Linked DNA regions of Cricetulus griseus. Each later gene encodes a partner of the first gene's protein in a complex. Links are inferred from orthologs where the notes say so. Each region holds a gene or a part of one and is shown on either strand. Other genes may lie near its edges. The genes, in order: Eif3j and Eif3f.

Region 1 (15,997 bases):
TTAATTCAGTGTCTGTCATTATTACTGCTAAGTAGATCTTAGCCCTTGTCTGCTTTCAACAGTATTTACTGTAGTTATTGCTATGTAGTCACGGCCTTCTATTAATTCAAGTCATTTATATGGTCCTGTTTTCCACTTAGTGGTCTACAGAGCTTTGAGGTTCCTATTGCCTATGGAAGAGAAACTATAAAGCATTTTTTTGTCCTGGCTGTGACAATTTTGGGGACCAAAAGAAAAAAACAAAACAAAAAACCAAACAAACAAAAACCTAACCACAAATTTTGTTACATTACTTAAAATGATCACCCGATTTATGCTTACAGCAATAACATGAGTAGTAGGTGTCAATACTCCAAATAAATAGTTCTAGGTACTTAATTGGGCCTTAGCATCTAAACAACAAAATAATTTCCCAAATGAACAGGAGGAAGACAGCTTCTGTTGCTCTACAGCTAAACTACTAAAGACCCCAAACACTTGCCTCAGCTGTAACTACATCAGGCACTGATTGAGTACACAGAGAACTCCACCCAAGAGCTGCATCCTGTACTCTCAATTATCTCTTGGGAGGTAACACAAAATTTAAGTCCTCACAATAGTTATTTTATTAAATTAGTTGCTTTATAAAACATTGCAGATGTCATAATTGTTAACATAACAATTTACCAAACTGTAGTTAACTGGTGCAGTTTGCTGAGCATGTTTTATAAAGAAAAGGAAATGCCAAAACCCTGTTAAGTTTTTCCATTGCAGCCTAGAAGAACAAGATTTGTTTCTCAGACACCTGAATCAGGCAAAATAGAAACAGTTCCCTCCCCCATCTGAAGTCCTCCATCAGTAGAAATAGCTGATAAATAACTAGACAGTCAATGCACTGGATCATCCACCACTTGCACTGTAATAACGGAGAGGTTTACCTTCTTCAGCTTCAAAGTTGAAGGGTTTTGGTCATTAAAATCTTAAGTATCAAACTAGTATTTTTCAGCCACAGTATCTTCACTCTGAGATAAGCAGTCTTCTTCACAACATGTTTTTAATATCCTCAGCTCAATTTTAAGACAAAGCAATTTTAATACTAGGTGCATCCCACATGCCCTTGCTTGCTGCAAACTGCTTTTCTTGACAAGTTATGAAGTAGTTCAAGGAGGTATGGTTAAGGCTGTATTACTGAATGGTGCTGGTAAATACTACACAATTTTTTTTTGTCATGTTGCAACCTTTGTTTCCAATTTAGTGACTGCTGCTATGGAATCAAATAGCAACAATGACAACATTATTAGGTTTGTTTTGTTTTTAAACTATGATTTTGTAGCAACTGAGGTTCCCAATTTTAACCCCTTGGCAACAAGATCCAAGTTCCCTCATTTGCTCATTAGCACCTGAGTGTCAAGGGGTTAAATAACCAGCACAAAAGATACTGCACTTCTGATTGTAGCATTTGGCAGAACTGAAAGGAAAGGAAGTTGTGCTACATGTTGAAGGGATTGTGGGCAACATAAAGAAGACACCAGGAGAAGATAAAAGGTCACATGAAGTCTTCATAGTCTTGTACATATCCTCCATCATATCCACCATAATCAGCCAGATCGTCTTTCATGGTGGCCTTTAATCCCCCTCCAGGAACCACACCTTTCTTCTTCTTTTTGGCTTTGTTTTGCTAAAAATGAAGGAAGAGTTAAATTCATGAACCTTTATCTGCTATGGGTATTTCATCTGTCACAGTATGTACTCAAAGAGATGCTAAAAGCTACAACAATTTTTATTGTATGTCTGTGAATGGAGACCAACAGGCACCACTCTGCTGTTCTGTTCTAACTTAAAATTTCAATGGGTTCTTTACTGTGTTGAGGGAATTCTGCCCACAGCCCCAACTTAGCACAAGTCATTTCTCTGTACAGCTTGCCCTTACCTTTTCTTGCTTCTGTTTTTCACTGCAAAGCACAGTCAATGAATTGGTAATCTTTTTCAAGTCATCAATTTCCACTTTAAAAAAGAAACAGACATACTTTTAAACTTCATTTTAAAATCAAAATAGATATTCTTATATTATAAAATGTCATTACTACAACTACGAATTTCTTCTTTCTATGGCTGGGCTCAGTGATAGCTCACTAAAGTACAATGGTAAACACAATGGCTATAAAAACTGAGCACTCAAACTGGCACATCTCTGTGAGTGCAAGGCCAGCCTGATTGATCTACAGAGAGCTCTAGTACAGTCAAGGCCCTCCATACAACATAGTGAAACCCTGTCTTAAAAAACAATTATTTATGAACTCATTAGCATTTGCTTTACCTCTCCCATCTTTCCTCAGTCTAAACAGGAGGGAGACTAACCACAGCCTCTACAATCATTGAGTAGCAGCTACATTGAACATGCAATGATAAGTAAACACATATGATAAGCCTCTGCCCCGCTGTGTTTTCTAGCCCAAGAACCACATCACTTAGCGGACAACATATCCTTTACTTAATTGGGGGGGGGGGGCTGGAAAAAAATCAGTTCTTATATACAGAAAATGTTGGGGTTTGGTTAGATAGCTCCTCCACAAAAGAAACACAGGAAAAAACAGTTCCTATAAAATCCGCCTATGAGTAATAATCACATTGGTGTAGCATCCTAGCATAAGGGAGCCAGTTCTGTCGGGCAATTTAGACAGTATCTCAGACTCCATTTGTAAAATCAATTTCTGAGGGTCTTACTGAGCTCTAAACCTGAGAAGCCCCTAATGCATTCCCTCTAAAGATACTGTGTAGGCCTTTAGGAGATTATTGGATAAAAGGGTTACCTAGTGTTGTGACCTGTTTTGTATGGCATAAGACTGCTATCTCTGTGAGAAGCTACTATATAAAACAATGAAAGTAGCCATCCCCAAATATTCAAACTGGAGATATTTGCTAAAAAAGGAAATCCCAAGTCTGTATTATAGCATTAAAGCTATAGAAAAACAAAACAAACAGTAACAACAAAAAAAGTTTCCCAAGTATGTTAAGAATATAGTCTTAACAAAGGGGGCAGAAATCAGCATCACTTACATGAAATACAGACATCTCGAACTAAGGCTTCCAAAAAACTGGCATAATATAGTGATTTTTCATATTGCGTAATTTTATCTTTTAGTAATTTTCCAAATTCTGTGAAGTCATCTCTTGAAGATGGGTTCATAGCATCTATTCCATAACCTGTATTATTAACACCTGCAGGAGAAAAGAGCTGAAGCATTAGAAGACAATCATTTTCATCAATAGGGGCTAGAATGGCTCTCTGGGTAAGAAGAGCTTTACCCATGTAAAGATGATTACACAACAAAACTGTCTTCTGACTTCAACACAACCCTCTCTGTAACAAAAACCTTAAAGTTCATTAACCAAGTTGCTATCAAAATCAGTTTTATTCTAAAGCAGGACTTTAAACAAACTGTCATATTGTGTGTGCACATGCCACCATGACCTGCATGTGTAAATCAGAGGATAAACTTTCACTCCTTCCATCAATATGTGCCCTGGGGTATCAAACTCAGGTTATCAGGCTTAATACCCACTGAGCCACCATTCCATCGCTAGGAAACTTTACAAACTACTGAGCTTTTTAACAAGAAAAGAAAAAAATCTATCTTGAATTTTACTAGCCTCCAATTCAGCATTTTCGCCTATTTTAATTTTAGGCAAAAACATTTAAAAAAAACCCTTCGGAGTACACTGCAGCTGGAGCAGATATCCCCACCACTGTCTGATCAGTACTGTCAAGCACTACTATTAAAAAGCACCTGGCGGCCTGGCGTTGATGGCGCATGCCTGTGATCCCAGCACTGGGGAGGCAGAGGCAGGTGGATCTCTATGAGTTCCAGGACAGCCAGAGCTGTTACACAGAGAAACCCTATCTTGAAAAGACAAAACAAAACACATGAAGTTGAGTAGTTATGAACATTCATACTCCCAGCTTGGGAGGATGGAGAATTCAAGGCCAGCCTGGCAAAAACCCATCTCAAAAAAGAAACAAAACAACCAACAACCAAATTAATAAAACTATATATGGGCTGGGAATGTAGCTCAGGTAGTGTTTGCCTAACATGTATGAAGACCTGAGTTCAATCCCCTGCACTAGAAACTAAAAATCTTTACTTTTATCATGGATTTGTTTTGTGATTTGATTCCTGTTTCAATTGAACAGGTTTCCTTTGTTAAAAATAAAGTGTTAGAAAACACCTTTAATCCCAGCATTCAGAAGTAGATGCAAGCTTCTCTGTGAGTTCTAAGCCAACCTGGCCTACAGAGTGAGTTCCAGACCAGCCAGAGCTACACAGAGACCCTGTCTCAAAAACAAAAGCCATACTAAAAAAGGACCCACAGAATTTACTAGCTGTCCAAAAAAGGATGCTCTCAAAAGATCTGTCCAAGAAAAACAAAAGAGATAGAGTGGGAGAAGGCTCAGTAGGTAAAGATATTTGTCACCAAGCGTGACCACCTATATTCAATCCCCTGAACTCCCATGGCAGGAGAGAAGCAACTCCACAAGTTGTCCTCTGGCTTCCAAGGCATCCTTGGGCAAAGATGGGTAAGGATAACAAAAAAGATGGATACAATAAAAATAACCAGCTAACCCCAAAAATTAAACAGAAGTAACCATGTGTTAAAAAAAACGTGGTGGCGCACGCCTTTAATCCCAGCACTCGGGAGGCAGAGGCAGGTGGATCTCTGTGAGTTCGAGGCCAGCCTGGTCTCCAGAGCGAGTGCCAGTATAGGCTCCAAAGCTACACGGAGAAACCCTGTCTCGAAGAAGAAAAAAAAAAAAAAAAAAAAAAAAAACACCGAGAGAAAATAAATCTAGCCTAAAAGAATTCTAGGCGAAAAGTATGATTATGTATATACCTTTTTCAAGGTCAATAAATGACCTAGCAAAACTACAGATTCAGCATTGTAAGTGCAAGAAACAGTAAATTCCTACTAACCAAACAATGACTGTGTTATTTCATTTTTCACTTCTTAATTTGTAACTGGTATCCCATGAGATTTTCTATTCTGAACACACATGGGCTGCCATGAATAGAGGAACACCCACATTCACAGCTGAAATTGCTAGAGACCCACTGAAGAGTATGGTCAGACTTTCCTAAAGGGGAACAAGCAAGTCTCTTGTGTTCTAGAGAAGGCCTTGGGTGAATTTTTTCACAGGGTAATGACAAATTTGACAAATGAAGTATTCTGGATTTCTCTACTATGTCTTTTAACTCTTCCTTAGGTAGCTGGCTAGTTTTTAAATCAACACGACACAAACTAAAGTCCTTTGTTTAGTGGAAACCTCAACCAAGAAAAGAAAATGACCCCACCAGATTGGCCTATGGCCCATTTTCTTGATTTCTGATTTATGTGGGACAGCCCAGCTAGATGTGGGCAGTGCCACTCCTGAGCAGGTGATCCTGGGAACTGTAAGAAAGCAGACTTACTGAGAGCAGGCCAGTAAGCAGCAATCCTCCATGGCTTTTGCTTTACTTCCTGCCCTGACTTCCTAAGCTGTTAAGATAACTGATGGCCCTGAAAGATGGTGTACTATAAAGGCCAAGAAAAAGAAACAACTCCGAACACAAGGCAAAGCCAAAACTGAATATTCTACATGGACTAACATGTTCTGCCCAAGTCCTATTTAGACTTAGGGGAACAGGATGTCCCCAAAGACAGTCCACTATTTTAGTTAAAAAGCTGTAGACACCAGAATCTATCCAGTTCACTAGTTTAGGCAACAGTACACTTTACCGGGTCTACTGATGTCTTGAGGCAGTCTTGCTATATAGCCTTAGCTAGCTACCACTAAGGCTAAGACCTTCCAAGTGTTAGGATTATAGGAATGTGTTAAAAACGGTGTTTTATAATCTTAAATACTCTAAAAATTACTCAAAACATCTGAAAGCATGCCAATACTTTGTCAAGTAATCTCAAATATATAAACAAGAGCTTAACGCTGTATGTGTCATTTAAAAACATGGTTTTTGATCTTCTACAAAGTAGTAAGACTGGAAGAATTTTTCACCTGGAATAGCAACATTGCACCCACCATCTTACCAAAAGTTTCTTTTGCTAATTCAAGGTCTGATTCTTCCTGTAGCTTCTTTAAACGGAGTTTATCTGCTAATTGCTCTTCAGGTGTTAGCACTTTAGGTTCTTCAGGCTCTTCTAACTAAAATAAAACACAAGTTTCACTTATAGTGGACACAGTATTTTTGTATTGTATGAATTTTATGTCAGCACTTTAACAAGTAAGCACATAAAAATGATTACTGTATTTTAGCATTCTTCTAAACACTTTAAAGGCTAGCTATTCATATTTCATTTATACAGATAATTAAATAAAACTTGCACACAGTAATACGAAGTAACATCTAACAGGGTGAACCCAAGGAGGTAGAGGCTATTTATTTCTCCATCTATTGATAAAAATGAGTAGATCATGCCGGGCGATGGTGGTGCACGCCTTTAATCTCAGCACTTGGGAAGCAGAGGTACACGGATCTCTGTGAGTTCGAGACCAGCCTGGTCTACAAGAGCTAGTTCCAGGACAGGCCCCAAAGCTACAGAGAAACCCTGTCTCAAAAAACCAAAAATCAAAACAAAACAAAAACAAAAAAACAAAAAAAAAAAAAGAAAGAAACCTGACGTGATGGCTAAAGAGAACACTAACTACCCTTCCACAGGACTGAGATTCAAATCCCAGCACCCCCATGTTGACTCAGGAATTTAGTTCCAGGATAAAAGGCCCTCTTCTGGCCTCCAAAGTTACCATGTGAATACAGTACAAATATACATGCAGGGAAAACACTCAAAAAAAATCTCTTCTTTTTAAATAGAGGAGGCATTGAGATGGCTCAATGGTAAAGATTACCACTGGCTGTTCTTCCAGAGGACCTTGTGTTCTCCCCAGGACCCACATGGGGGCTCATAACCATTTATAACTCCAGTTTAAGGGGACCCAAGCCCTCTTCTGGCCTCGGAGGTCACCAGGCACTCAAATGCATGCAAGGCAAAACTCACAGACACATAAAATGGGAGGAGGGGGTGAAACCTAAGATGAACACAAAGATATTCATTAGAATATTATTTATAATTGCAAGTAAATTTAGTAACATCCTAAATGTTCAACTATAGAATGGTTAAAGTGTAGCACTGCTCATCTGACAATGTAGACATTAAAAGTGTTTTCAGAGCATCAGAAAAAAAGTTCTATTTTATTGTAGAATTACAAATGTAACCAAAATAATCAAGTGACACCCCAGTAATGTAAAGCCCTCTGAAAGGGTAGACAGCAGTCTAGTTTCTTTTCTACACCTTGTGATATAATTTTCTACAGAGGTATGTTACTTGAATTAGTTACTGGGGAAAAGTGAAGCACCTTTGAATCCTCACATATGTTCCTGCCTGTTCATGGAGAGGAAATGTAAAGAGGTTAAAAACAAAAAGCCAGGTGGTGGTGTTGCATGCCTTTAATCCCAGCACTTGGGAGTTCAAGCCCAGCCTGGTATCCACAGTGAATGCCAGGACAGGCTCCAAAGCTACACAGAGAAACCCTGTCTCGGAAAAACAAACAAACAAACAAACAAACAAAACAAAACTGTAGGTAAAATAACACAAGGGAAATAATAACATTAGAACCTTCCACTTGATTACATAACATACACTAAGTAGGATATATTCTTTAAAATCTTTTTTAAAAAAATAAGGTAGGGGTAGTCTGAAATAATCCTGACAAGGTGGTACACACCTTTAATCCCAGCATAGACAGGTGTTATTCTGAGTTAGAGGCCAGCCTTGTCTACATCATATATTCCAAGCCAACCAAAGCTATATAATAAGACCTTGTCTCAAAAAGTTAGGATAGGGGGCTGGAGAGATGGCTCAGAGGTTAAGAGCACTGACTGCTCTTCCAGAGGTCCTGAGTTCAATTCCCAGCAACCACATGATGGCTCACAACCATCCATTATGAGATCTGGTGCCCTCTTCTGGCCTGCAGGGGCACATGCAGACAGAACACTGTATACATAATAAATAAAACTTAAAAAAAAATAGAAAAAAAAAAAAAGTTAGGATATAGTCCAAATTGAAAAGAACTAGTTCCAGTATGGCCAAGGCTACACTGAGAAACCCTGTCTTGAAAAACAAAATAAAACAAATCCTCAACTCCACTTAACAGCTTTAAACTTTATAATATTTATTTTTTTTTGAGTTTTTTAGTTTTATACATTTTTTTTGAGATAGTCCCATGTAGTAAGGGGTGGATGGGATTACAGGTATATACCACCATGCACACCCATTATAAATTTATTTGTTTGCTCTCTATCTGTACCCCCAGGCTATCCTCAAACTCAACCCTCCCATTGGAATTATAGGCATGCAGAACTATACCCTGCTTGAAACTTCAAAGTTTTTATCTTCATATAGTTGTTCATTCATGTATGTGTGTACCATATATGGTAGTGGAGGGTGCTGTGAACAAACACACAGACAGACAGCTTCCCCAACTCCCTAGGACTTGCCTCAAACTCAGTATGTAACTTAGGATGACTTGAACTCCTTATCCCCTGCTTCCATCTCCCAAGCAATGGGGTTATAGGCATGTGCCACACATTGTTTGATGAAGTGCTAAGGATTGAACACAGGGTTTTGTAGATGGTCCTATACCCATCTATATACTGGCAGCACTAAGTAGACTCTGAGTTGTTAAAAACAGCTTATGAAGTTGGGAGGGAGAGTAATGGGAAAGAAGGGAAGGGAGGAACTAGGGGTTTGATTTAAACACATAAATATTAAATGTATGCAAGTATATAATTCTCAAATAAACTACTGTATTTGAGTAAAACACAAATTACAAAAACCTTACCAGTTTATTCAAAAAGGAAGAATTACACAGGCGGTGGTGGTAGCACACACCTTTAGTCCCAGCACTTGGGAGGCAGAGGCAAGCGAATGACTTTGAGGCCAGCCTGGTCTACAGAGTGAATTCCAGGACTGACTTCATAGCTACTGAGAAACCCGGTCTCAAAAAAACAAAACAAAAACAAAGTAAAATTATTAAAATTTTTTGGCAGAGTCGGGCATAGTGGCACACACCTTTACTACCAGCACTTCAGGCAGCCTGAGTTACAGAGCAAGTCCCAGAACAGCGAAGGCTACACACAGACATGGTCTCCCCTGTAATCCCCTCCCGCAAAAGAGCAATACTGGGGACTGACTGAACCATAGCACCTCCCACATAGGTAAGCACTCTACCAATAATCTCATGCTACATCTCTTTCTTACAGCAGTAAAACAACCTTATGTATGTATGTATTTATACATGTATAAATACACACATATATACCTGTTTCTAAATATCAGGTATTTATGCAATCATGAAAAAAAAAATCCCTTCTCAGGGTTTAAAGGTAAAATGTATATTAGTTATATTAAGCAAAGCAAAAATAAATGAAATCTGGCAACACATTAACAGTATTAAGTGATATGTATTACTTGTTTTTGAAACAGTCTCACACTCAATGTAACCCTGGTTCGCCTAGAACTGCTATGTAGACCAGGCTAGCATCCAACTTTTCGAAATCCTCCTCCTTCTGTCTCCTAAGTGCCAGGATTATAAGTATGAATACCACCAGATCTGGCTTTATGAGCCCAGGCCTTACAATACAAGCCAAGCTATTACAAATTACAAATGTAATTCAGACTTCCAGAGTACTGGGATTTCAGGAGTGCAACACCATGCCTGATTATTTTCCTACTTTCATATTTGAGGATTTTTCTTAACAAAAAGTAAAGAAGGCCAGGGAATGATAGCCCATGCCTTTAATCCCTGCACTCAGAAAGCAGAGGCCAACCTGGTCTACAGAGTGACTTCCAGGACAGAAAAGTCTACATAGAGAAAGCATGCTCTCCGGGCATTGGTGGCATACATCTTTAATCCTAGCACTCGGGAGGCAGAGGCAGTTGGTCTACAGAGCAAGTTCCAGGACAGGCTCCAAAGCAAGACAGAGAAACCCAGGGGGAGTGGGGGGAGAGGGGAGAGAGAGAGAGAGAGGGAGGGAGGGGAGAGAATGCTCAAAAAAACAAAAAGGAAAAAAAGTGAGGAAAAATATTAGAGTTTTTTCCACACTGTGTATGGAAAAGATCTCTACAGTAAATAAAAGTGGAAACTACACAAAAAAGGACAGCCAGTTAGTGATGTCTGTAATCTCAGCATTTGAAAAGTGGGGGCAATGGGAAACCAAGTTCTAGGTCACCCTAGGTTATACAGCTAAAGACTATCACAAAGAGGCAGGGATAATACATACAGAAATATAAAGATATCTTGGACAAACCAAGCAGTAGTGGCACACACCTGTAATCCCAGCATTCAGAAGGCAGGGGTAGGTGGATCTCTGTGAGTTGGCGTCAACCAAAGTGAGTTCTAGGACAGCTAGAGCTGTTACACAAAGAAATCCAATCTCAAAAACCAAAAAAAAAAAAAAAAAAAAAAAAAAAAAAAAAAAAAAAAAAGTATCTTGGACAGATAAGGGACAAGTGTTTACATGAGATGTGGGATAGTGGAGACAGAATAAGTAACTAAGGGGTTAGGAGTGTTTTGTAATAATTTTTATATTTGAATTATGAAAATGTTTCCTATTAAAATAAATACAGCAATATTGCTGGATCCTGCTACAAAATAATCAAGAATAAACCACTTTAGGGCATGACAAACATTTGTTTGCTGTGTTCACTGTGTATAACTGATTAGAAATAGCCACAGGTGGGCTAGGCATATAGCTCAGTGGTAGAGGGATCACTTACATGCATGAGGCCCTGAATTCAATCCCAGCACTGAAAGAAAAAAAACAAAACTGCAGGTTCTAGCAAAAAAAAATAATAAAAAAAATAAAAAAATTTAAAAAAAAGAAAGAAAGAAAAGAAAAAAACAAAAACAAAAAAACCATTAAGGGTGGTCACTGCCCAATCTAACTGTTATGATGAAACTGAAAATATTTTCAGATATAAGACTTCTGGGTTCGCAAACTACAAATCAATTTTTTTTCTGGGATTCACCTATCTTACAGTATATCCATTTTGTCTTTACAGAGCCCTTCAAATTGCTATGTAATATTTGCAGCCAGTTAAGACACTGTACCACAGCTGGGCGTTGGTGGCACATGCCTTTAATCCCAGCACTCGATAGGTAGATAGGCAGAGGCAGGCAGACCTCTGTGAGTTCAAGGCCAGTCTGGTATCCACAGTGAGTGCCAGGACAGGCTCCAAAGCCACAGAGAAACCCTGTTTTGCGGGGGTGGGGTGGGGGGGAGACGGCACACACTGTACCACAACCGACACATTATGAATTCTGTATACATTTTAAGGAAAGTGATAGAACTTACCCTCTTTCTAATTTCTTCTTGCCTTTTCTTCTGCTGCCGTTCTTTCTCTTTTATCTTTTCTGCTATTTTTTTCTTTTCTGAAATCTTTACTTCTGAAAGAAATATTTTATTTACGATTATATTGAACACTTTCTAGTCTATGGCTACGGCAGACATGATGCTTGATTGAACACCTGAAGAGACGAAACCTTCCCTAGCTTTCAGAGTCACATATTCTGGAAATGATAAAGTTTTAGTACTCTTCCTTTTCATTTCAAATCTCACCCCGGGAGATGCAAATAGACAAGGGAAGATCATTCAAATAACCATTTCCTCTACTTTCTATCTCCTACACCTACACTTTTCTCCAACAGAAAACCAGCAGGTACTTAAAGAAAAAGTATAGAGGGGCATCTGGTTTAAAACAATGAAGGAATGAATATCAGTGACTCACCTGGTTTTACTTCAGCTTCCTCTTTATTTTCATCATCATCATCATCCCAGTTATCCTGAAGACAAGAACCTCCATTAGTAATTCTTACATGTTTTCTTTCCTATGTGATATCTATGGTTAACCTAAATATGCACAAACAAGCTTGTTGGTACTTTTTGGTATTATAGCCTTTATAACAGTAAGGCCCTTTGTCTAGGGTTATCTTCCCATTTTAAGTCTACTTTTGTATCTCAGGAGTGTAAGAAGTTTTACACGTTTCATTTTGTGGTTGTTCCTAGTATTCTGTAAATTCCTATAAATTTTTAAATTCTGTTGCTTTTATAGGTTTCCCTTGCCCTCATCATGCTTTATAATTAGGTATTTGTATATAGCAAACGCTATTGGGCTTTGAACATTAGTAATTTGGGAGGACACTTAAGTTAGGTTCATCATCAATTCTTTAAAGTTTTCTAATCCAAATATCTTCAATGTTCCAAAATTCCAAAGATTTTTGAGTACCAACATGTTGCCACAAGAATATTCCACACTTACAACTGGGCCTAGACCACAAATCTGAATGTAATCCCAGCGACCTGAGAGGTAGGGTAGATCAATGTTTAAGGCCTGCCTCTACAAAGTAAGAAATCCTGTTTCAAAATTAAGTAAAAACAATAGGAAGCTAGGGAATATGGTAAATGCTTGCCTAGTATGCATAAAATTCAATCCCCAGTACTACCAAAAAATAATAAAATTCCACATATGATCCATTGATAGATCTTTAGTCAAATAGAACAAATGCTTAAAATAGTGTGTAAAATTACCTTCCAGCTATGTGTGTAAAGTATATTTAAAACAAAAAAATTTCATGTTTACTTGGGTCCCATACCATTATGTGTACACATATACTCCTCAAAATCTGAAGGAAAAAAAGTCCCTAAATGGAAGGAAATACTTGTGGCCCCAAGCTTCTGAATAAGTGATATACTATACAACCCATACCACATAGCCTGAAAACAACAGAGTGTACTTTTGAGACAGGGTTTCACTACATATTCCATGCTGGCCTCCAACACAGAGATCTACATGCCTCTGCCTCCAAGGCATCGAAGACATGAAGGTCCTCCATACCAGTTTTACTAATTCTTCTAATCGTACTAGCTCAATCTAGTTCTGTTTACACTAGTGAGCAGAACAGAAATAGGCACCTCTCTTAATGAAACTGTCCCTCAAATACAATAAAATCTCCAAGTCACTGGCTTTTGCTACCTCTGGATTTAAGTCAGACAATCTCAAAGAATTCACCATGTTTTCTTCTAGAATATATATGGTTTCATTGTTTTGTTTTGTTTTTTTCATATATTTACATCCCTGATCCACCTACAGTAAAGAACCACAGATCTTGCCATATAGACTAAGCTAGTCTATATGACCCTGCTCCAAATCCTGAGTGTAGGGGTTGGTTATAGGTTTAACTAACACCCACTTAGTACCACACTGCTTTCATTACCAAAGCTTTATGGTATGTTTAGTATCTGCAGACTTAAAATAATGTATGTATGTTTAATGTTGTTCACCCTTTTAGGATTCTAAATGTTTACTATCACGTTTTTCCATATAAGCTTTTATATCCACTTATCTAACACCATAAAAAGCTTACCAATCAAAATACAAGGTAACAAGCTCAAATTTCTAATTGCTATCTTATTTTTAGTTTGACAGTGTCTATCTATGTAGCCTCAAATGGCCTTGAACTCACAATCCTGTTGCCTTCCCTTACTGCATTCTGGATTACAGGCATGTGTGTACTACCCATTGATTATCAGTTGTTTCATTTACCAAATGAACCAGGTATTCTGCTGTCTAGCCAATGGGTCATTTGTTTCTAGCAGTATTGCTTACAATATAACTATAGTCAATGAATCAAATTACACAATATTTTAGACACAGTATTAAGAGATTAGTCTAAAGAACTAATTAACCCTTTATGGCTCTGCCTCCTTAGGCCGGGCAAGACCCTCTGAGTTAGACCTATACCCTGGATTTTCTATGCCTATCTATCACTGAGCTACATACAAACCTAATTTTCTAAAGACTCTAGAATTTAGAAGATTCCAATATAGTAGGGATGGAGATAGCCTTAAATTTAAATGGGGCTTTAATCTATAGGTAGAACACAGTCTCAGTAATCACCAGACACAATGTGACATGTCATTTGAAGATGAGCCATCAGAGGGAAGGTGCAAAGCAGGAAGCCCTGACGCTAGTAGAAGAGGCAAAAGCTGACTAATATACCACAACTATGACATAAACACAAGCTTCTAGCTTTATAGCATTACAGATCACAGATCTAAATCAATCCAGGTATATATACACTAAACCTCAATTAAGACAAGTTTGTACATCCAGCAAAGAAATTAAAAATCTGTCCTCTTTATTGAAGCTGCAATGTGTTGAACAAGCAGAACAGGAATAATTTTATATACAAGTAAATATGTTTGTCTATATGTGTGTGTATATTTTAATCCCAACATTCTACTTCCTGTGTCTGTGTATGTCTATGTACCAGAGACCAGAAGAGAGTTTGAATCCCCTGGAACTGGAGTTACAGTTGTAAACTACCATGTGGGTGCTGAGAAATCTAACCTAGGTTCTCTGGAAGAGCAGCCCAGCTCGCCAGCCCCCTAGTAAATATATTATTACAACCACTTGTCAATTTAAACCATGGTTTTGAGTTTTAACAGACTGAAAACAAATCAATTAGTCATTATTTGGATAACTAAGAAGATACTAGAGTTACAAATTAAAAATCAAATGTTTGTATTACCTTACTATATTATTGCCTTAGTTCTTATATCAAAACTGTAGTACAAGGGGAACCAAAGAGCAAAACAAAGTTGACTATCAGGCATTTTGGGGTGGTCTATAATACGCTGCTTAAACAGTGTTTCAGACAGCAGGGACATGTGTATTCCAGGGAATGCAGATTTAAAATAAGATAATAATACTAACAGCACATACTGATGAGCACTGACTTTCCACTCAAAATTATGCTACAAGCTTTTTCATGTTGTAACATTAATCTTTGTAACACTCCTAAAAGTAAAGCAGCACCATCCCACTTTACAGAAGAAAACTGTAGCTCAGATGTAGCCAACAAATGATCTAGTAAGAAACAATATAGGAATTTGCTCTGAATGGAACAAAATGACACAGAACGTAACTTCCTCTGAGACTTGGAATATAAAGTAACTGCAAACTACGTTCCTCTTACTAAGATGTGTTCTTTCAATCAGTTCTAGAATGAACTTCCCTAGATCATAGAGAATCTCATTTTAAAAAAGCAGAGCTAAGGTACATACTAATATATGAAATATGTCCAGATATATACAATTGTATCAGTTAAACACCTTCAAACTTCAAGTTGCGCACATAAGGTTTTATTTTGTTTAGAAATTTAAAGATACTGATCACCAAGTCTCGGTTTGGTACTACAAAGCCAAGAGAGAACTATGACTGAAAATAAGCAGCACCCTGATGATACCTTCAATACCAATTCTATATACCCTGTCCCTATTACTCTCTGGTTCCCCACAACAAAAGAGAACCAGCTCCTATCCATGCAAACAGGAGGCTCCCTAAAAATCCTCCATCCCACCTCTAGAATGCTAGGATTTGTGGCATATGCCACCAAGCCAGGACAGAATGTATTTTAGTAGCAAGAGGCAGTTCCTATAAATAAATTCTAGGCAGAGTCATGACACCTGCCTCAATGCATAAAGGACCATGAAAGGAAAGCCACTGTCTATTACCATTACCCTCAAATACAAGCAACAAACCTGCCCTGAAATTACTAATAAACCATCATATTAACTCTCTTAAGAGAGCAAACAGCCTCAACTATCACCACTACAGCCCAACTAAAGAAGGCTCAGTAGCTTTCCACAGGAATTTTTAAAATTTTGGCTCCTGCCAGTCGTTAGTGGCACATGCCTTTAATCCAGGTATCCTGGTGGCTCATGCCTGAATTCCAGCAGTTGGAGAGTGGAGACAGGAGGCTCAGTACACTGCCATCCTCTACTATGTGTGGAGTTCTAGGCCAGCCTGGACTATAAAAAAAACAAAAACATTCAGGTTGCCTTCCTTAAAGAGCCAGCTTCTTTAGAAGAGAGGTTAGTTATAATTTCCTCATGTACATACATACTCA
Region 2 (16,818 bases), on another chromosome or scaffold:
TGAAATTTCCTCATGGGGCAAGGTGAGGACAGAGAAAGGAGAGAGAAGGGAAGCTGAAAGCTGGTGCAGGAACAGAAATCTGTTCCTGGCAAGGAGCCGGTCAGAGCTTAACCCAACAGCTGAACAAAAACAAGCAAGCCAGCAAACAAACCCATGGATTCTGCTCTTTGAACTAAGGTTCCTATGCCTGTGTTACAAGCCCCTTACTGACTGAACAATCAACCCAGCTTGTCTACTCCCATTTCTGCAGCGCAGGAGCTCTCCGGAATGAAAGGAAACTGGGAAAGATCACAGGTGCTAACAGAGCCTCCACAATCTCCCCCCCCCCCCCGCCAAAAAAAGAACAGGTGTCTATTTATACTCCACTGCTCTCTAGGTTCACATTAGCCCACCATAAACAGATTAGCCACTGCTCCATCTAGGAGCCCTTTCTGCATCCCCCTCCTCTTCTCCAGAACAGCAACTACAATTAGGAGGTGGGGTGCTCTAGTCATAAACCCCTGCCTTCAGCTCAGGGTCTGCAACTAACATTCTTCAGACCACTTGTCTGAAGACCCCGGGGGCTCTGGGGTCCCCAGTAAGGAGAGGGCAGCATAAAGGTGTAAATTACAGACTGTTAGAGTCTGTGGGGTCTGGTGATGCCTTTGGTGACGCCCTCACTCCCCTCTCTCAGGCTGCACTCACCATGCAGACAAACCTGGCTGAGGTAGTTGACAAGCTCCATCAAGTTCATGGCCTGCAAGCTCCTGCTCACCACTCTCACGGCTTCAGGTGCTCCGTACATTGAAATCAGTTTTGATGCTAGGTCAACCCGACTCAGACCCTCCAGTTCCCCTCGGGCCAGATGAAACTGGGTCATGTCCCGTAAGTGGAACTTCAGCATCTTGAAACTGTTCTCCTCAAGGTCCTTCAAGGCCCAGAGCAATGCCTCCTGGGGACTGTTGGCTCGTGCCATGGTGGTCAGAGGTCAGCCAGCCTCCTGGAAGTGAGAAGTAGTGAGACAGTGCTGAGTGGAGAGCAGCTGGAGACTCCTCACCCACCCTGCCCTCTGGGGGCTTGGCAGTCTGAGAAGCAGAGGTCCAGGGGAGACCAGATATGTGCAGAGCTCTGAGGAAGGCAAGTGGGTGAGACAGCAGGGGACATTGTCTAAACATCCCTGCTCTATCAGATAGCATGTGTGACTGTGGGAGTAACTAGAAACTTCCTCCCCCTCTCCCTCTGTCCCTCTCTCCCTCCCTTCCTCCCTCCCTCCCTTCTTTCCTTCTTGTAGATATGTTTTTGTGCATGTGTGACAGGGTCTCATGTTTCCCAGGCCAACCGCAAACTCTTCTTGTGGCTGAGAATGACCTTAAACTTCTGATCCTCCTACCTCTACCTTTTGAGTGCTGTGATTACTGCCAAGTAGAACTACACCTGGATTTGTGGGATGAAGGGAATTGAACCTAGGGGTTCCTGTGTGTTAGGTAAGCACTCTACCAACTAAGCAATATCCCCAGATGCCCATCAGCACTCTTAAACTCGACTCAACTTAGCATTAAGAAAAAAATGTTTGAGTATTTTTAATTTCAAAAGTGAGCCTGCCCTTGATTGTGATTGATCCCAGAACTTGTGCATTATCTGCTGGGACAGGGAGAAAGGAAATCTCCATCCTCAGTCCACTGCTTCCCACACCAGCATCATGAGCTCAGACTCTCATGGGGTCCAAAACTGGTCTCCAGGTAAGGAGTCAAGATGAGGCTAAGAAGGGAACAGACACTTTTAGTGATAAAGTTGGGCCTAATGACTTCTTGATCTTAGCATCTACTAAAGGGAAGGAGAATAGCAGTGGCTAGTAGGAAGCTTTCAGAATCCAAGAGATAATTGTTATCCAAAGTTGTGAGGGTCCACTGTGGAAGTATGATGTCTGGAAGTGCTCAAAAAAGTCATTGTAATGGACTTGGTAAGACTCAAATATCAGTATTTTGACTGAATATCAAAGAAAGGAATAAACCTCTCAGAAACATGTCAGGACACAGGGATACTGGGGATTCCCTATGAAGCTGATTCTGGGAAGCTAATTCCAGAAGGACAAGAAGACAACAGCAGAGCACTGGACCAGTCAAGCTCAGGCTTGAGGAGCTGGAGGTGGGAGGATGACTCAGCTCCCTGGCAAGAGAACAAAAAGCTAGCTGTCCAGAAGAGATGCAACAGGTCCATTTTCAGCTTTGCAGGCCAACCCTGGATCCTCTTATCCAAAACCCACCAGTTAATTATTATCCGGTGGGGTAAGAATTCAAAGTAAAGGTGTGAATTCTCAGACACATAGGCCTGATGCGGAGGAGGGCTGGAACCATGAAGGACCTCAGTGAGAAGCAGAGATACCCATACATCAGATATGTTAGTTGGCATGAGCAATTGTTCACCAGATGAAAACTTGACCCCTTGGGAGTCAGAGGCAAGTGAATCTCTGAATTCTAGGCCAGCCTGGTCTACACAGTGAGTTCCAGGACAGTCAGGACAACACTGAGAAAACCTGCCTCAAAAAAAAAAAAAAAAATTGACCTCATTTTTCAGACCCATTAAACTTGGTAAACAAGGGAGGGACCAAAGGCATGAACTATTGTATTGCCAAAGGAAAGACAAAACAGAAGATGTTCCACACCCATCCCTGAAACCACTGGTCCTCTTTACAACTTGACCCTGGTCCAGACCCGGGCAGTGTGACAAAGGAAGTGGAGCATTGTCATTGTCACTGTACCATTTCTTCAAACTGGTGAAGCCACTACAGGTTATGCTCTGACAAAAAAGGGGGGGGGGCAAGCAGGAGTTCTGTGAAATAGAGATACAAACACGTTTCTAAATGTGCCTAAAAGGCAGCTGGTCAGCTAGCCTAGAGAGCAGGGACTCCACTAAATCTCTGTAAATTTGGAGCAGTTTCTCCAAAAAGATTGCCTTCAAGATGAAAAGAACAACGGATTGGTAATTCAACTGATGCCTTTGTCTTTCTGAAAAAGCTAATGAGAGACAGCCAAAAGTGCAGACAATCAACAGTAAATTACCAGAAAACTAGAAATGAAAGTAAAATAAATATTTTAGGAGCAACAAAAGATTAAGACATAAAACATAGTAAACTAAAACACTCAGGTGAATAATATTTGCATACAAATAATAGCATAACCACTTAATAACTAAGATTTATAATATAACCACAATGAAAGGATGGTGGCAGAGAGGCTGGTAAGATGACTCCCTGACTGGGAGCTCTGGCTGCTCCTCCAGAGAACCTGGATTCAATTCCTGGCACTACATGGCAGCTCACAGCCATCTATAACTCCAGTCCCAGGGAATCCAATATCCTTTTCTGGCCTCTGAGGGCATCAGGCATGCACATGGTGCAAAGACATACATTCAGGCAAAACACCCATACACAGGAAATATTTTTTTAATTAGAAAGGATGGTAATGGAATGATTAGGATAAAAGGTCAATGCCTAAGCCTTGAGTCAAAAAGCAGTTGTATTGTGCATACTGTACTGTTTAGAAGTACAAAGATGCAATGGGGCTAGAGAGATGGTTCGGTGTATTAGAGCACTGTCTGTGTAAGCATGGCACCTGAATAGCAAGCATGAGGACTTGATTCATATTCTGCCACCCACATAAGATCAGTGAGGGTGGGTGCATGAGAATGGCTGAGGTGTATTGCCCCCAGTCTAGCTCCAAGCTCAGTGAAAGTCCCTGTCTCAAAGGAACACGGTAGAGAGAGAGTTATAGAACAGGATACCTGACATCCTCTGGCCTGTGCGTACACAAAGGACACACTCCCACACGTATACACATACAACAAATGCACAATAATTTGTATGTGTGTGTGTGTGTGTGTGTGTGTGTGTGTGTGTACACGCGCGCGTGCGTGTGCGTGTGCATGCATATGTACAAAGACATAAGAAAGTTAAAAATCTAAAGTAGTTGCCTTGGGCAAAAGGGCTGGTGATGGTGAGATGAAGACTGTTTGAGGACACAGACTATGTAATGGGTGGAATTTCTGATACATGCACATGCATCACTGAGCTAAAACAATAGGGAAAAGACAGGTGGCCAAGAAGTAGAGGGATTGTGTGTAGAGAAGTCTCAGGAAACTTGGCTGCAAAAGGACTCTGCAAAGTGATGGGGACGTACTAGACCAAGAGAAGGTCTTTGTCTTCACATGGAAGGGGGCATTTTTAAATGCCAGCAACAAGCATCCAAAGGAGGTATCAGGCTAGTAATCTCAAACTGGGGAGGGGTGAGAACAAGGACTGGATTAGGACCCAAGCCTCTCAATGAGAAAGGCTGTGGGAAGGAGAAGCAGCTGCATGGGTTTCATGGTCAGAAGGTGAGAGTGAGCCTGTCTGACAAAGCTATGTTCTATATGATGTACGGCTAACAGGATCTCCAAAGAGCTTGAAGGCAGTGGTGGTAGGAGGGGTGGGGAACCAGGAGGTGAACACTGCCAGCCCTCTCACCTGTTCACCTTTTTCTCTTCTCCAAGCCCCAAGTCACAGCGCTCGGTCAGTACTCCCTGGAGTTCAGGGGAAACAGCAGGAATGGGAATTGATTTGCCCAAAGCCTTAGCCAAGATCAGGCTAGAAACAGAAACCACAGCACCAGAGATTAAGACCAAGATGAGAAAATAAAAGAACAAGATATGACCGTCTAGATAGGATGACAAAGAGCAGAGGCCACTTACTGCACCAACGCCAGGTCTAAGTCACTGGGCCAGATTCATAGCAACACCTTAGTATTTATAGAAACAGGAACCGAGTTTAATTGGAAGGGTGGAGGCAACAGATGAAATCATGTTAACTCTGTCCTGGCTAGAGGCAGAGATGACAACTAGAGAAACTGGGTCCCCAAAAGAAAGAAAATTAAAATGGGGGAAGCAGGACCAAGGATAGAAAGATAGAAACAAAGATAGAAAAAGTGAGAGAGAACAGATAAAGGGAGACATAAGACACATAAACTGAGCAGAAAAAAATGGGGTAGAGAGACAAGAGCAGGGATCTGGCTAGAATACACACACACACACACACACACACACACACACACACACACACACACACACTCACACACATATATTTTTCCTTTCAATACCTGAAATGGGATGGGCTAGATAAAGAGACTATAGACCCACTTTCATATGACTCCCTGGTAGAGATAATCTGGTGTTGTGTTGTGTTGTGTTTCATTTTGTTTTTTCAGACATTGAAGGGACCAGCTCCCCATTTCGGCAGCCATAACAGCTGAACATGTGCTTGCCTTAGTCACTAGGAGGTCAGATGCCTGTCCCCTTTTGGCAGCCATGACAGTAACACATGCTTGCACTGACCTTGCCTTGGTCACTAGGAGGTCAGATGCCTGCCTCATGGCAAGGAACCAATCAGAAGATAGCTGGTGGTGCTATGCTTTATGGCTCTGGGTACAAGTGCACAGCAATGACACACAGAGCATAGCAAACACCCTGGGAGGGCCTATGGGCCATAACCACCAGTTGACCAATCAACACAGGGCAGGCCCTCCAAGCCTGGAGGCACAACAATCCTGAGCCTGTGCATACCCCTAGACACTTCCCTTACACTGCCCTATAAGATCTCTATGCAGTGGCTTCCTGCCATCTTTCCTAGCCATCCACCATGGTGGATGGACGGGAGGCCCAAGCTAACATGGGGTTAGCTCGTTAAACAACTACAATAAAGCCTCATGCTGTTTGCATTAAGCTTTCGCCTCCGCGTGGTGATTGGAGTGGCTGCGGTGCTGGGCTGAGATCCTGGGGGCCTGAGTCTCCGGGGGTCTTACAACATGACTACTCAAACATACTCCCCAGGACAACTAGCAAGTGGCATGCAGTGGTTAATTTTGTGTGACCCAAGCTTTGGTCAACATATCACTGAGAGTTTCTGTGATCCTGTACTTAAGATATAACTGTCAATTGAGTCCGTAACTGAAGAAAGCCAACTGTGCTCCCTAATGTGGGTGCCCTCATCCCATCAGATGAAGCCTGAACAAAAGAAAAGGCCTGGCCATCTCATGAATAAGAAGAGTCTCCTCGGACATGAGAGAGCAGGAAGGTTGAGAAGGAGGAAGAATAGAGGAGAGCAAGAAAAGAGATACCATAGTAGAGGGAGACATTGTAGGTTTAAAGAGAAATCAGGCACTAGGGAAATGTCTGGAGAGCTACAAAGATGACACCAACTAACAATCTAAGCAACAGAGGAGAGGATACCTTAAATGCCTTCCCCTGATAATGAGATTGATGACTGACTTATATGCCATCCTATAGCCTTCATCCAGCAGCTGGTAGAAGTAGAAGCAGACACCATAGCTAAACACTGAACTGAACTGGAATCCAGTTACAGAGAAGGAGTGATGAGCAAAGGGGTCCAGACCAGACTGGTGAAACCCACAGAAACAGCTGACCTGAACAATGTGGAGCTCTTGGTCCCCAGAGTAATAGCTGGGAAACCAGCATGGGACTGATCCAGACCCCATGAACGTGGGTGTCAGTGAGGAGACCTTGGAAATCCATGGGGTCTCCTGTAGTGGATCAGTACTTATCCTTAGCATAGGTGTGGACTTTGGGAGCCCATTCCACATAGAGGGATATTCCCTGAGCCAAGACACACGGGGGTGGGCCTAGGCCCTATCCCAAAGGATATGACAGACTCTGAAGACCCCCCTATGAAAGGCCTCACCCTCCCTGGGGAGCAGAAAGGGTATGTGATAGGTAGGGTTTTAGTTGGGAGGGGTAGGGGAGGAGGGGAGGAAGAGGGAACTGGGATTGACATGTAAAACAATCTTGTTTCTAATTCAAATTAAAAAACAGGAATAAAAAGAAGAGTTTCCTCTTACTGTGTATATAGACCACAGTTTCCCTCACTGTGCATCCTAGAATTTTTCTTAAAGATTTATTTATTTATTATGTATACGGTGTTCTGCCTGCAGGCCAGAAGAGGGCCCCAGATTTCATTATAAATGGTTGTGAGCCACCATGTGTTTGCTGGGAATTGAACTCAGGACCTCTGGAAGAATAGCCAGTGCTCTTAACTTCTGAGGTATCTCTCCAGCCCCTAGAAATATATATATGCAGAAAGAAGATTGGGTGAGGAAAAAGACAAACAGGAAGAATAATTGGGGGGAGGAGTAAAGGGAGGGAATAGGTGGAAGTAAATACTGTCCAAGTATGAAGAATTTATGCCAATAAGAAAAGACCTTAAAGGGGCTGGAGAGATGGCTCAGTGGGTAAGAACACATGTCGTGCAAGCATAAGGACCTCAGGTAGAATCCCCAGCACCCACATAAAAAGCCAGGTGTGGTAACACTGGAGCCTGTAACCCCAGCATTGTGGGCAGTGAAACAGAAGGATCACTAGGGCTTGCTAGGGTTACCAGCCTAGCTCCAGGTTCAGTGAGGGATGAGGTCTCAAGGGAATAGTGATAGAGTGATAGAGCAGGACATCCAATGCCTGGCCGTCATATGCACTCATGAGTATACACACACACACACACACACACACACACACACACACACACACACCCTGACTTCAAAAATAAGCAAAGGAAGGAAATAAAGAGGGAGGGTCGGAGGGATGGAGGGAGAGGAGAGAAGGAAAGAAAAAGGAAAGAGAGAGAGAGAGAGAGAGGGAGGGAGGGAAGGTGGCAGGGAGGGAGGGAGGGAGGAGGGAAGGGGGAGAGGAAGGAGGAGGCAGGGAGGGAGGAGGGGGGAGGGAGAGAGGCCCTTTAAAAGCCCCTTTGACATTTAATATCCAATTTAAGTCTAAAAAAAGAATTGCGGGGGGCGGGGGGGGGCGGCTGGAGAGATGGCTTGGAGCACTGACTGCTCTTCCAGAGGTCCTGAGTTCAATTCCCAGCAACCACATGGTGGCTCACAACCATCTGTAATGAGATCTAGTGCCCTCTTCTGGCATGCAGCCATATATGGAGGCAGAATGTTGTATACATAATAAATAAATCTTTAAAAAAAAAAAAAAATGCGACCTTTACACTATTCTGTGCCGCCATCTGGTGGCAACTGAGTAGATTGCTATTTGTTTCTCTCTGCCCACCCCCACCCCACCCCACCCCACCCTCAGGCGGTCCCAGAGTCACTAGGAACTACTTTGGCCTGCTCCTCACTGAGTGCGCATGGACGGCCATTAAAACGCACACGGCTCACTAAAACTTACAACCAGCCGGAAATGTTAGTGCCCAATAGTCAGCAAGAGCTGATTCACGTGGTACAAATTCAACCAACCAAGTTCCTAATACTTCCTAACTCACGCCCTTCCGTTCTAGGTTCCCTCTTTCTCGGCAACATGGCATCCCCGGCCGTACCGGCAAGTGTCCCTCCCGCCGCTGTGACCGCGGCCCCGGCGCCGGCCACCAACGCAGCCCCGGCTTCAGCCCCGGCAGCGCCCACGCCAGCTCCGGCGCCGGCTGCGACTCCCGCTGCGGCCCCGGCGCCCGCCTCGTCCTCCGACCCTGCGGCAGCTACGCCTGCCGCTGCGGGCCAGACCCCGGCCTCTGCCCCAGCCCCTGCGCAGACGCCGGCACCCTCGCAGCCCGGGCCCGCCCTGCCGGGGCCTTTCCCCGGCGGCCGCGTGGTCAGGCTGCACCCGGTCATTTTGGCTTCCATCGTAGACAGCTACGAGAGACGCAACGAGGGAGCTGCCCGGGTTATCGGAACCCTGCTGGGTGAGTGCTGGAGAAATGAGTGTTTTCTTCTCGTCATCTCCCTCCTGTTTTCACTATTTCCTCTCGCTACATCACCACTGAAGTCTTAACCTGTTGCTCTTTTGCATCTTCTCGATGTGGCTTGCCTTCCCAAGTGTCTTGAATCCTGCCGAATCGCTGTTGAGCGACAGAAATGTCCAAAGAGTAGGTATGAGCTATTGAGTAGTTTGTGGTAGTTGATCTACATGTTATTTTATACTCCTACCAGCGAAGTACGGAGAGTGCATGTTCCCAAAAAATGAGTTCAAAAGCCAGCAAGAAGTGCAAAGCTCTTGACTCTTGTAAGCACAGTATCCACATTTACCCTCATATCCACTGACTAACCAACACACAAACACGTACCCACCACCCTTGTAAGGGAAGAGGATATGTCAAAGCTTCCCCCAATTGAACAAGTAAACCAGGTTTGTTCAGAACCTATTCCGGATATTTAATACTTTCTTTTAATCCCGAACTTTTAAGACAGATGCTCAGTGGCAAGAACCTCTTTGATACTAGTTTCTTGTGGAATGAAACCTGTATATGCTCGGGTTCAAGTATCTACCCCACTTCACTCTTACTTTTCCATTTGCATGCAAGCAATGGTATTACCTGTTTACAAGCAACCTTAAAATGAAGAGTAATCTTTCCTTTGCCTGTGTTACAGATAGTTTATGTTAAGGTGGTTTGTAAAACTGAAAGGCACTGAAGATTGTTGAATACATTTCTGTCTCTGGGGACTGCTGGTCCTGTCAGACTTGCTTGCACTCTGCCTTAGTGACAGCTTTTAAACACTGGCCTTCCACACCATTTCTTACTGGTGATCTTGGAGCAGTTTTCGTACCATGGAAGACCATTCGAGTGCTGCAAAGAGAACAGGATATATAGTCAGACTTCAGCAATTATTAGCTGTCTTGGGACAAATCACCAAAGATCTAGTTCTTTTGGGGACTTTAGCAGACAGTTTTTGTGTGAATGAAATTATTACAGAAAGCAGCTAATGGCTGACACACCTCAGGTACAGCAGCTCTCAGTCACCATATACTAGATATGAAAACCATACCACCCCACCATAAATTTCTTAGGCAGTATAGCACTTTACAAAGACTTAGGAGTTGCTACATTGTTGTTCATCAAAACACACTGGCATTTTCTCCTCCACAAGTCTCTTCCCTGCTCTCCACCATTTTATTTCAGTTCTACAACTGTAATCCTAACTTCCCTCTATTTTTAACCTCTCAGTGTGTTAACATTCTGTAACTGCCCTACTGTGAACTTCTATAACAAACAAAAAATGTTTGTATCAGTGACTTGCCACTTAACAAATACTTGGGGTATACTATCTAATTTCCAGTCTCTGGAGCTGTTTAACTAGAGGAATAAATGTCTATCAAGGTTTATGTTTCACCCCATATATCATAGGAAGGCAGCTGTAATCTGTGGATTCTCTTGTCAGACTGGATCCTGCTCAGTGCTCCCACTGCTACAGAACAGTTGAGTTGTTGATGGAAAAACAAATGAAGCAATGTGTGCTTGGTAGGAACTTGGACTTTTCTTAGGTTGACAGTAATTTGTAAAAGATTTTTGCCTGGCTAAATGAAATCATTAGTGATTTTCATGTACCATAAAACCATTAGGTACTTCGAATTCAAAATTAGTCAAAGGAACACTGTTGTAACCTTAAACTCAAGATGGAAACAGAGTCCCTGAAACGGAGATGTGATGACTGTTCTGCTAGCAGGGTGTCCTATGGAAACACAGAGGCGTAACTATTTGAAAAGGTTATGGAGGAGTCCCAGAAAAGCTGTGGAAGGCCCTGTTAAGGTGTAACACATCTTCCATGTGAAATGAGCCCTTAGGTGGACAGTGTCCACGTGTGCTTCCCAAAGGATTCGGACCTGAGTTTCTAATTTTATGTTTCACTGTAAGACCTGATTTCTAAATTGTTTTCAGTGAATATACCTATAAGTTATAGTTCTTTGTAAGCACTGCTAAACTCAGCGTCCTTTATCCTTTAAACAGAACTTCAGCTACTCAGATTATAGAGCATAAAGTTATGTTCTAAATACCATAATTTTGACATTTCTGAGCCTACTTGGGAATACTAACCTTTTATCCCTGAATCTCAAAAAGATAACGTGCCAGGAATTTGAAAACTGAAAAACTTGTTTTCAGTTTATGTAATAGTTCTAAAATGTACCACTGTTGAGAAATTTTAAATTTAAAAATGAAACAAAATTTTAAAGAGAAAGCTCTGGGCAAGTCCCAGCTTATGAGAGGGCGGCAGGAGGAGAAGCCCTCTGTGGTTCTGGACACCTGCCTCTGGGGCAGGAGTCACAGAGTTGAGACAGCGGAAGTCTCGTCTTCCCAGGAGGCTCTTGAGCTCTTTCCAAAGCTGGGAGACCAGAGCACTGGCTGCTTTGTACAGATTAGTAGACCTGAGCTGGGCCTGGATGACAGCTGGAGGGCATTCTAGTAAAGTAAAAGCATTTGAGAAGTGGGAGCACAGAGAAAGGGGAGAATTGAAAGACAGGAAGTAGTGGCATAGTCAGAAGCTCAGCATTAGAGGTGATTTCTAGATCTTCAATTGAAAGGAAATATGGAGTTTGACTTGGGCTTATTATCTATTCCTTCTGAGATGCCATTGAGTGTGGCAGTGGATTTGTCAGGTTAGAGAAATTGAGTGAGAAAGACTGCTGAGGTGGACCACAAGCCTGACCTGTGAATTCCTGGAACCCACATGGTAGAAGGAGAAAATGCTCCTGTAAATTGTGCTCTGACTTCCACAGGCAAGCAGTTGCATGTGCACACCCACAATCAATCAATGTAAAAGAAAGGCAGAATTTGACAATAAATGAAGAGACTGTAAAGAGATGTGGGCGAGTATGTCTCAGCCATTAGGCAATAAGAAGTAACTGAAATCATAAAGGTGGATGAAATCACATACCACAGGGATTGGCAGCTGTGTTTAAAAAAACAATAACAACAACAAAAACTCAGCCTTTGTAGCAAAAAAAAAAAAAATCCATAAGTAATGCATAAAAGATTGGGCAACTAAAGCCCGGTTGGTGCGCACGCCTTTAATCCCAGCCCTCAGGAGGCAAAGGCAGGCGGATCTCTGTGAGTTCGAGACCAGCCTGGTCTACAAGAACAAGAGCTAGTTCCAGGACAGCCTCCAAAGCCACAGAGAAACCCTGTCTTGGAAAAAAAAAAAAAATGGACAACTAAACATTTATTAGCTGAAATCTTTCTGGGTCAGGACTTGACCTAGAAAAGGAACATGGAGCAAAAACTAGGAACACTAAGAATGCCAAAAACCTGAAGTGTCAGAGGAGGAGCCAGCAAATTAGGAAGAGAAGGGAGAAAACTAGAAAAGACTAGTGTCATGGATACCCTAGGAAAAAGGGGCTCTGAAGTGGAGGAAGCAGTCATGAGGGTCAGATGTCTGAGTGGTCAGATGAGAGAATGTATACCCATGGATTTAAGAACATAGTTCAGAAAATGAAACCATAACAACCAGATCTCTAGCAGGGGCATGTTATAATAGGGCCTGAGGGAGCTTGGGGGAAGGTACCACTATGTTAGAAGAGAATGAAGTTGGGACCTATGGCTCAGTGAGATCCAGGAACTAATGAGAGTGAGGATATCGGAACACAAGTTTGTGGTAGACTGATGGTGATATCCATTCACATGTGGAGATGATAGATAAGCTGGTCTAAAGGGTAATGCTCTAAAACTGTTTACAGTGGCACCAGTCTGTCCTCAGTGATCTGTCAGGTAAACATACAAAGAGAAACTCAAGAGCAGCAGGACCCCTTTGGAGGTTGAACAACGCTTTCACAGGGGTCACCAGAGGCCATCAGAAAACAGATGCTTACATTACAATTCATAACAGTAGCAAAATTACAGTTGTGAAGTAACAGTGAAAATAATTTTATGGTTGGGGGTCACCACAACATGAGGGTCTCGGCATTAGGAAAGTTGAGAACCACTGCTCTAGAGAATGAAGAGTGAGTGTAATGGGATGGGCTGGTAGTGGAAAATAACAGGCAAGAGAGACCTTCTTTGTAAAGGAAGACTTAACCCTGTTTGGTGATAAAAGAAAGAGCTGGGGCTTTGAGTTCTCTAGAAAATACTGGTTCTGTTGATGCTGAACTTGGGGCTAATATTAATATGTTGGCTTCATGTTTGTTGACTTTGAGGAGACCTTGAAAAGCATTTCAGAGTAGGAGTTGGAGATACCACTCAGTTGATAGAGCACTGTGCACAAAGCACTGATTTCAGTCCCCAGCACCACATCAACCAGGTGTGATGGTGCACACCGTAATCCTGGCACTTGGGTGATGGAGACATGAGGCTCAGGAGTTCTTGCTCATCTGTAGTTACAGAGGACTCTGACTCCAAAAACAAATAAATAAGGAAGGAAGGAAGGAAGGAAGGAAGGAAGGAAAGAAAAGGAAGGGAAACCGTTGTGGGCTGTGGAATCCCAGAATTATTTAACCTCCTGCCATTCTCTTTTTACCAGGAACTGTTGACAAACACTCAGTGGAAGTCACCAACTGTTTTTCAGTGCCACACAATGAGTCAGAAGATGAAGTGAGTTGGCTTCTCTCAAGGCCCCTCTGTACTGTGTCTGTAACAGCGCTGCAGGCAAAGCACTGCTTGCCCTGCCCACATCCTGGGCTTCTTCATCTGATGGGGGTGGTCTTTCTTACGATTCAGTTTTAGTGTGTACTTCTAGCTTCTCAACTTCCTCTTCTGCATTCTCTCTTAGGTGGCTGTTGACATGGAATTTGCTAAGAATATGTATGAATTACACAAAAAAGTCTCCCCAAATGAGCTCATCCTAGGCTGGTAAGTTGAGGCGGGTGGATGGATAGAAAGTCTTCGTTGAGGGCCAGCCAGCCTCATTTGTCATCAGACTAGATCTTATTTCACCTTTCAGAGATAGAGTATTCAAAGCATGTGACCTTGAGCCTATTTTGATGGTAATTCTGATCATATTAAGTCAATAATATTTATTTTCAGGAATAGCTTTTGTTATTAGTTTGCTGACATTGTTAATTACTGCTGAGATAGTATCAGGGCCCCAGAGATACCCACACCACTGTTGTATTTGGGATTGGCATCAGGTGTTGAGAACCTATAACTGCTCTGCTTTCCAGGTATGCAACAGGCCATGACATCACAGAACATTCGGTGCTCATCCATGAATACTACAGCCGGGAAGCCCCAAACCCCATTCACCTCACTGTGGACACAGGTCTCCAGAATGGGCGCATGAGCATCAAGGCTTATGTCAGGTGAGTCCTGAGTGACCCGTTATGCCTGGATAACATCTCACGCCTACCCTACTCAGGTCTAATTCTATAGCTCAATGTCTCTTCAGGAACTTCATTCCTCTTTTGACAGCTGTCATTAGAGAAGTTTCTGAAGCAAAGTCTAACCCCATAATTGACACTCACTGGTCCTACTTAAACTGCAGTACTTGCTACTTAACGTCCATTCCATATGTGCCTTGGGTGCATGAACAAACTACCATGTTTTGTATGTGTCATCTTTCTGGGACAGTCCCCACATGGTTTGTTTGTCACAAGGACATGTGACCTTGCTCATTGCTTTTCTGAATTACGTTTAGTTTTTTATTGTCTTAGTTTGCTTTCTGTTGCTGTGATAAAACACTGACCAAAAACAACTCGGGAAGGAAAGGGCTTATTTCACCCTACTGGTGACAGTCTGTCATTGAGGGAAGTCAGGTCAGGCAGCTGAAGCAGAGCCAAAGTGATGCTGCCTACTTCCTTGTTCCCCCGGCTTGTGCACGCTGCTTGCACAAGTGGTCCTATCACCCAGGACCACCACCTCCCACATCAATCATCCCTCAAGAAAATGCCCCACAGACTTCCCTACAGGCCAGCCTAGTGAAAACACTGAGCTGCTTCTTTCCATAGACCATAAAACCTAACCAGCACATTCAGTGTTACTAGAACTTAGCACAGTATTCATAAACCAAAGGATGCTGGCATTATTTGGAACACATCTTTTAAGTTGGAATTAAATAGACTTTTGGACGATAACATTGCAGTGTTGGCTCAGAACTTGCCTGCAGCTACAATGCCATTTGTCAGGGCTTGCTGGGGAGGGCTTTAGCAGTGGAGAAAGGAAGAGTTATTACTACAACTTGAGCCTATGGATAGGCACTGAGCCCAGCCTTCACCCCCTTCTCAGTCTCTACAAATTCAGCCTCCTCAAAATCCATATGAAAATCCAGAGTTGAAATAGTAAACAGCAATTTTAGTGAAGTTACTCTTAGCGCCCTATTGAGTGGTTTGGGGCATGAGTCAGTTTGGTCTTTTAGTGATAATGAGAGGCTCAGGCCCAGAAAAAGATTGCTCTGGTATATCTGTTTGCCCTGAAGATGGGTGTCTAGACAGCCAGGAACATCAGAGTCCTGTCCTCGTTACTGGCATTATGGTGTATGAAGCCATCCTACAAGGGGTCAGGCCAAAGAGAAGAAGGAAAATTTACTCTCAAGGTATTTTGGGAGCAGTCCTGGCCTTCTCACGTGGAAGGTATTACCATTGTGACTGCTTTTCTAACATAGGCTAGAAGTGGAAACTGCTCCCAGGGCATCTATTTACCTTTTCTCCTCCATCCCCAGCACTTTAATGGGTGTCCCTGGGAGGACGATGGGAGTGATGTTCACACCTCTCACAGTGAAGTATGCGTATTATGACACTGAACGCATTGGAGGTGAGTTTCCTTCCCCCACTCCACACACCTAGAGACCCCAGGCTTATTCAAGGGAGGGAGCCATTTCTCTTTGACAAAGATGAAGGGAGGGCTTGGGTAGCTTAAAGAACACTGGTCCAGCCGGGCGTTGGTGGTGCACGCCTTTAATCCCAGCACTCGGGAGACAGAGGCAGGTGGATTCCTGTGAGTTCGAGGCCAGCCTGGTCTCCAGAGTGCCAAGATAGGCTCCAAAGCTACACAGAGAAACCCTGTCTCAAAAAAAAAAAAACCACTGGTCCAAAGTTCATGCTAACTGGAAGATGTGAGGGTTGTTCAGGGTAGGAAATTGTCAGTGTCACAGGCCCTGTAATCTCTATACAAGGCCAGAACCAGTAGTTACCAAACCAGGTGGAGAAACTGAGCTCTCCAAAGAAAGAAAAGTTAGTGTGTAGAGAGCAAGGATATTGGGAGCTGACTGCTTCCCAGGGGGGTTGGGGAGAGTTAGTAAGTGGTTAATGACCTCTTTCCTCTTGTTATGACCAAGTTTTCTCTGTTGTCTCTCACTGCCTGCCCCACATTCCCACAGTTGACCTCATCATGAAGACATGTTTTAGCCCCAACCGGGTGATTGGACTCTCCAGTGACCTACAGCAAGTGGGCGGAGCCTCTGCTCGAATCCAGGATGCTCTAAGCACTGTATTGCAGTATGCTGAGGATGTGCTGGTGAGAAATGGGGAGGAACAGCAAGGGAGGGCTGGCATCCCTGTGGAGCCTGCTGGTGACTTGACAGTACCTAACAATGGACCTTCTCAGTCTGGAAAGGTGTCTGCTGACAACACTGTAGGCCGCTTCTTGATGAGCCTGGTTAATCAAGTACCCAAGATAGTTCCTGATGACTTTGAAACTATGCTCAACAGCAACATCAATGTGAGTGCCATGGCTGGACCCTGGGAGTTGGGTAGATGGAAGGCCACTACACAGTCCAGGGTGGAGGCAGTACAGTATGTTTAGGGGGTCTCCTCCCCTAAGTGCTTGTTTGAAGTACTACTGCTATTACTGTGACTTCTTAACTAGACTCAGGTAGGAGACTTGCTAAAATTCAAGGTAACAAAGACAATTTCTAATTTTACACATCTGTGTTCGCAGAGCACACACCCCCATACTCCACAAGTCTCCACTAAATTCCCCTATTCTATAAGCATCAGTAGGGTGGATAGTGTTCATGCACGGTCCCTGCCTGACTTCCCCCCTTCAACCCCTGCTCAGTCTGCTCCACTGACATTCAGGACTCAGCACAGGCCTTTCTGTCCCCATTGCATTCATTGTTTTCCTTTTCTTTCAGGACCTGCTGATGGTGACCTACCTGG

What was found.
Region 2: Eif3j (region 1) and Eif3f share a complex: the UniProt entries of both Homo sapiens proteins name them as parts of the eukaryotic translation initiation factor 3 (eIF-3) complex. The link is inferred for Cricetulus griseus from reciprocal best matches to the Homo sapiens genes EIF3J and EIF3F.

Annotation. Positions count from the first base shown.
Region 1 is NC_048599.1:56,390,550-56,406,546, forward strand, and holds the end of Eif3j (eukaryotic translation initiation factor 3 subunit J), read right to left. Parts: intron 11,870-15,997; coding exon 11,815-11,869; intron 11,474-11,814; coding exon 11,382-11,473; intron 6,173-11,381; coding exon 6,058-6,172; intron 3,199-6,057; coding exon 3,037-3,198; intron 1,984-3,036; coding exon 1,910-1,983; intron 1,658-1,909; coding exon 1,526-1,657; 3' UTR 582-1,525; downstream 1-581. UniProt on the Homo sapiens protein: Component of the eukaryotic translation initiation factor 3 (eIF-3) complex, which is required for several steps in the initiation of protein synthesis.
Region 2 is NC_048596.1:91,823,823-91,840,640, reverse strand, and holds the start of Eif3f (eukaryotic translation initiation factor 3 subunit F), read left to right. Parts: upstream 1-8,297; 5' UTR 8,298-8,325; coding exon 8,326-8,704; intron 8,705-13,247; coding exon 13,248-13,318; intron 13,319-13,496; coding exon 13,497-13,576; intron 13,577-13,887; coding exon 13,888-14,025; intron 14,026-15,380; coding exon 15,381-15,472; intron 15,473-16,037; coding exon 16,038-16,174; intron 16,175-16,264; coding exon 16,265-16,378; intron 16,379-16,793; coding exon 16,794-16,818. Other genes in the region: Nlrp10 (NACHT, LRR and PYD domains-containing protein 10), read right to left, coding at 685-955. UniProt on the Homo sapiens protein: Component of the eukaryotic translation initiation factor 3 (eIF-3) complex, which is required for several steps in the initiation of protein synthesis.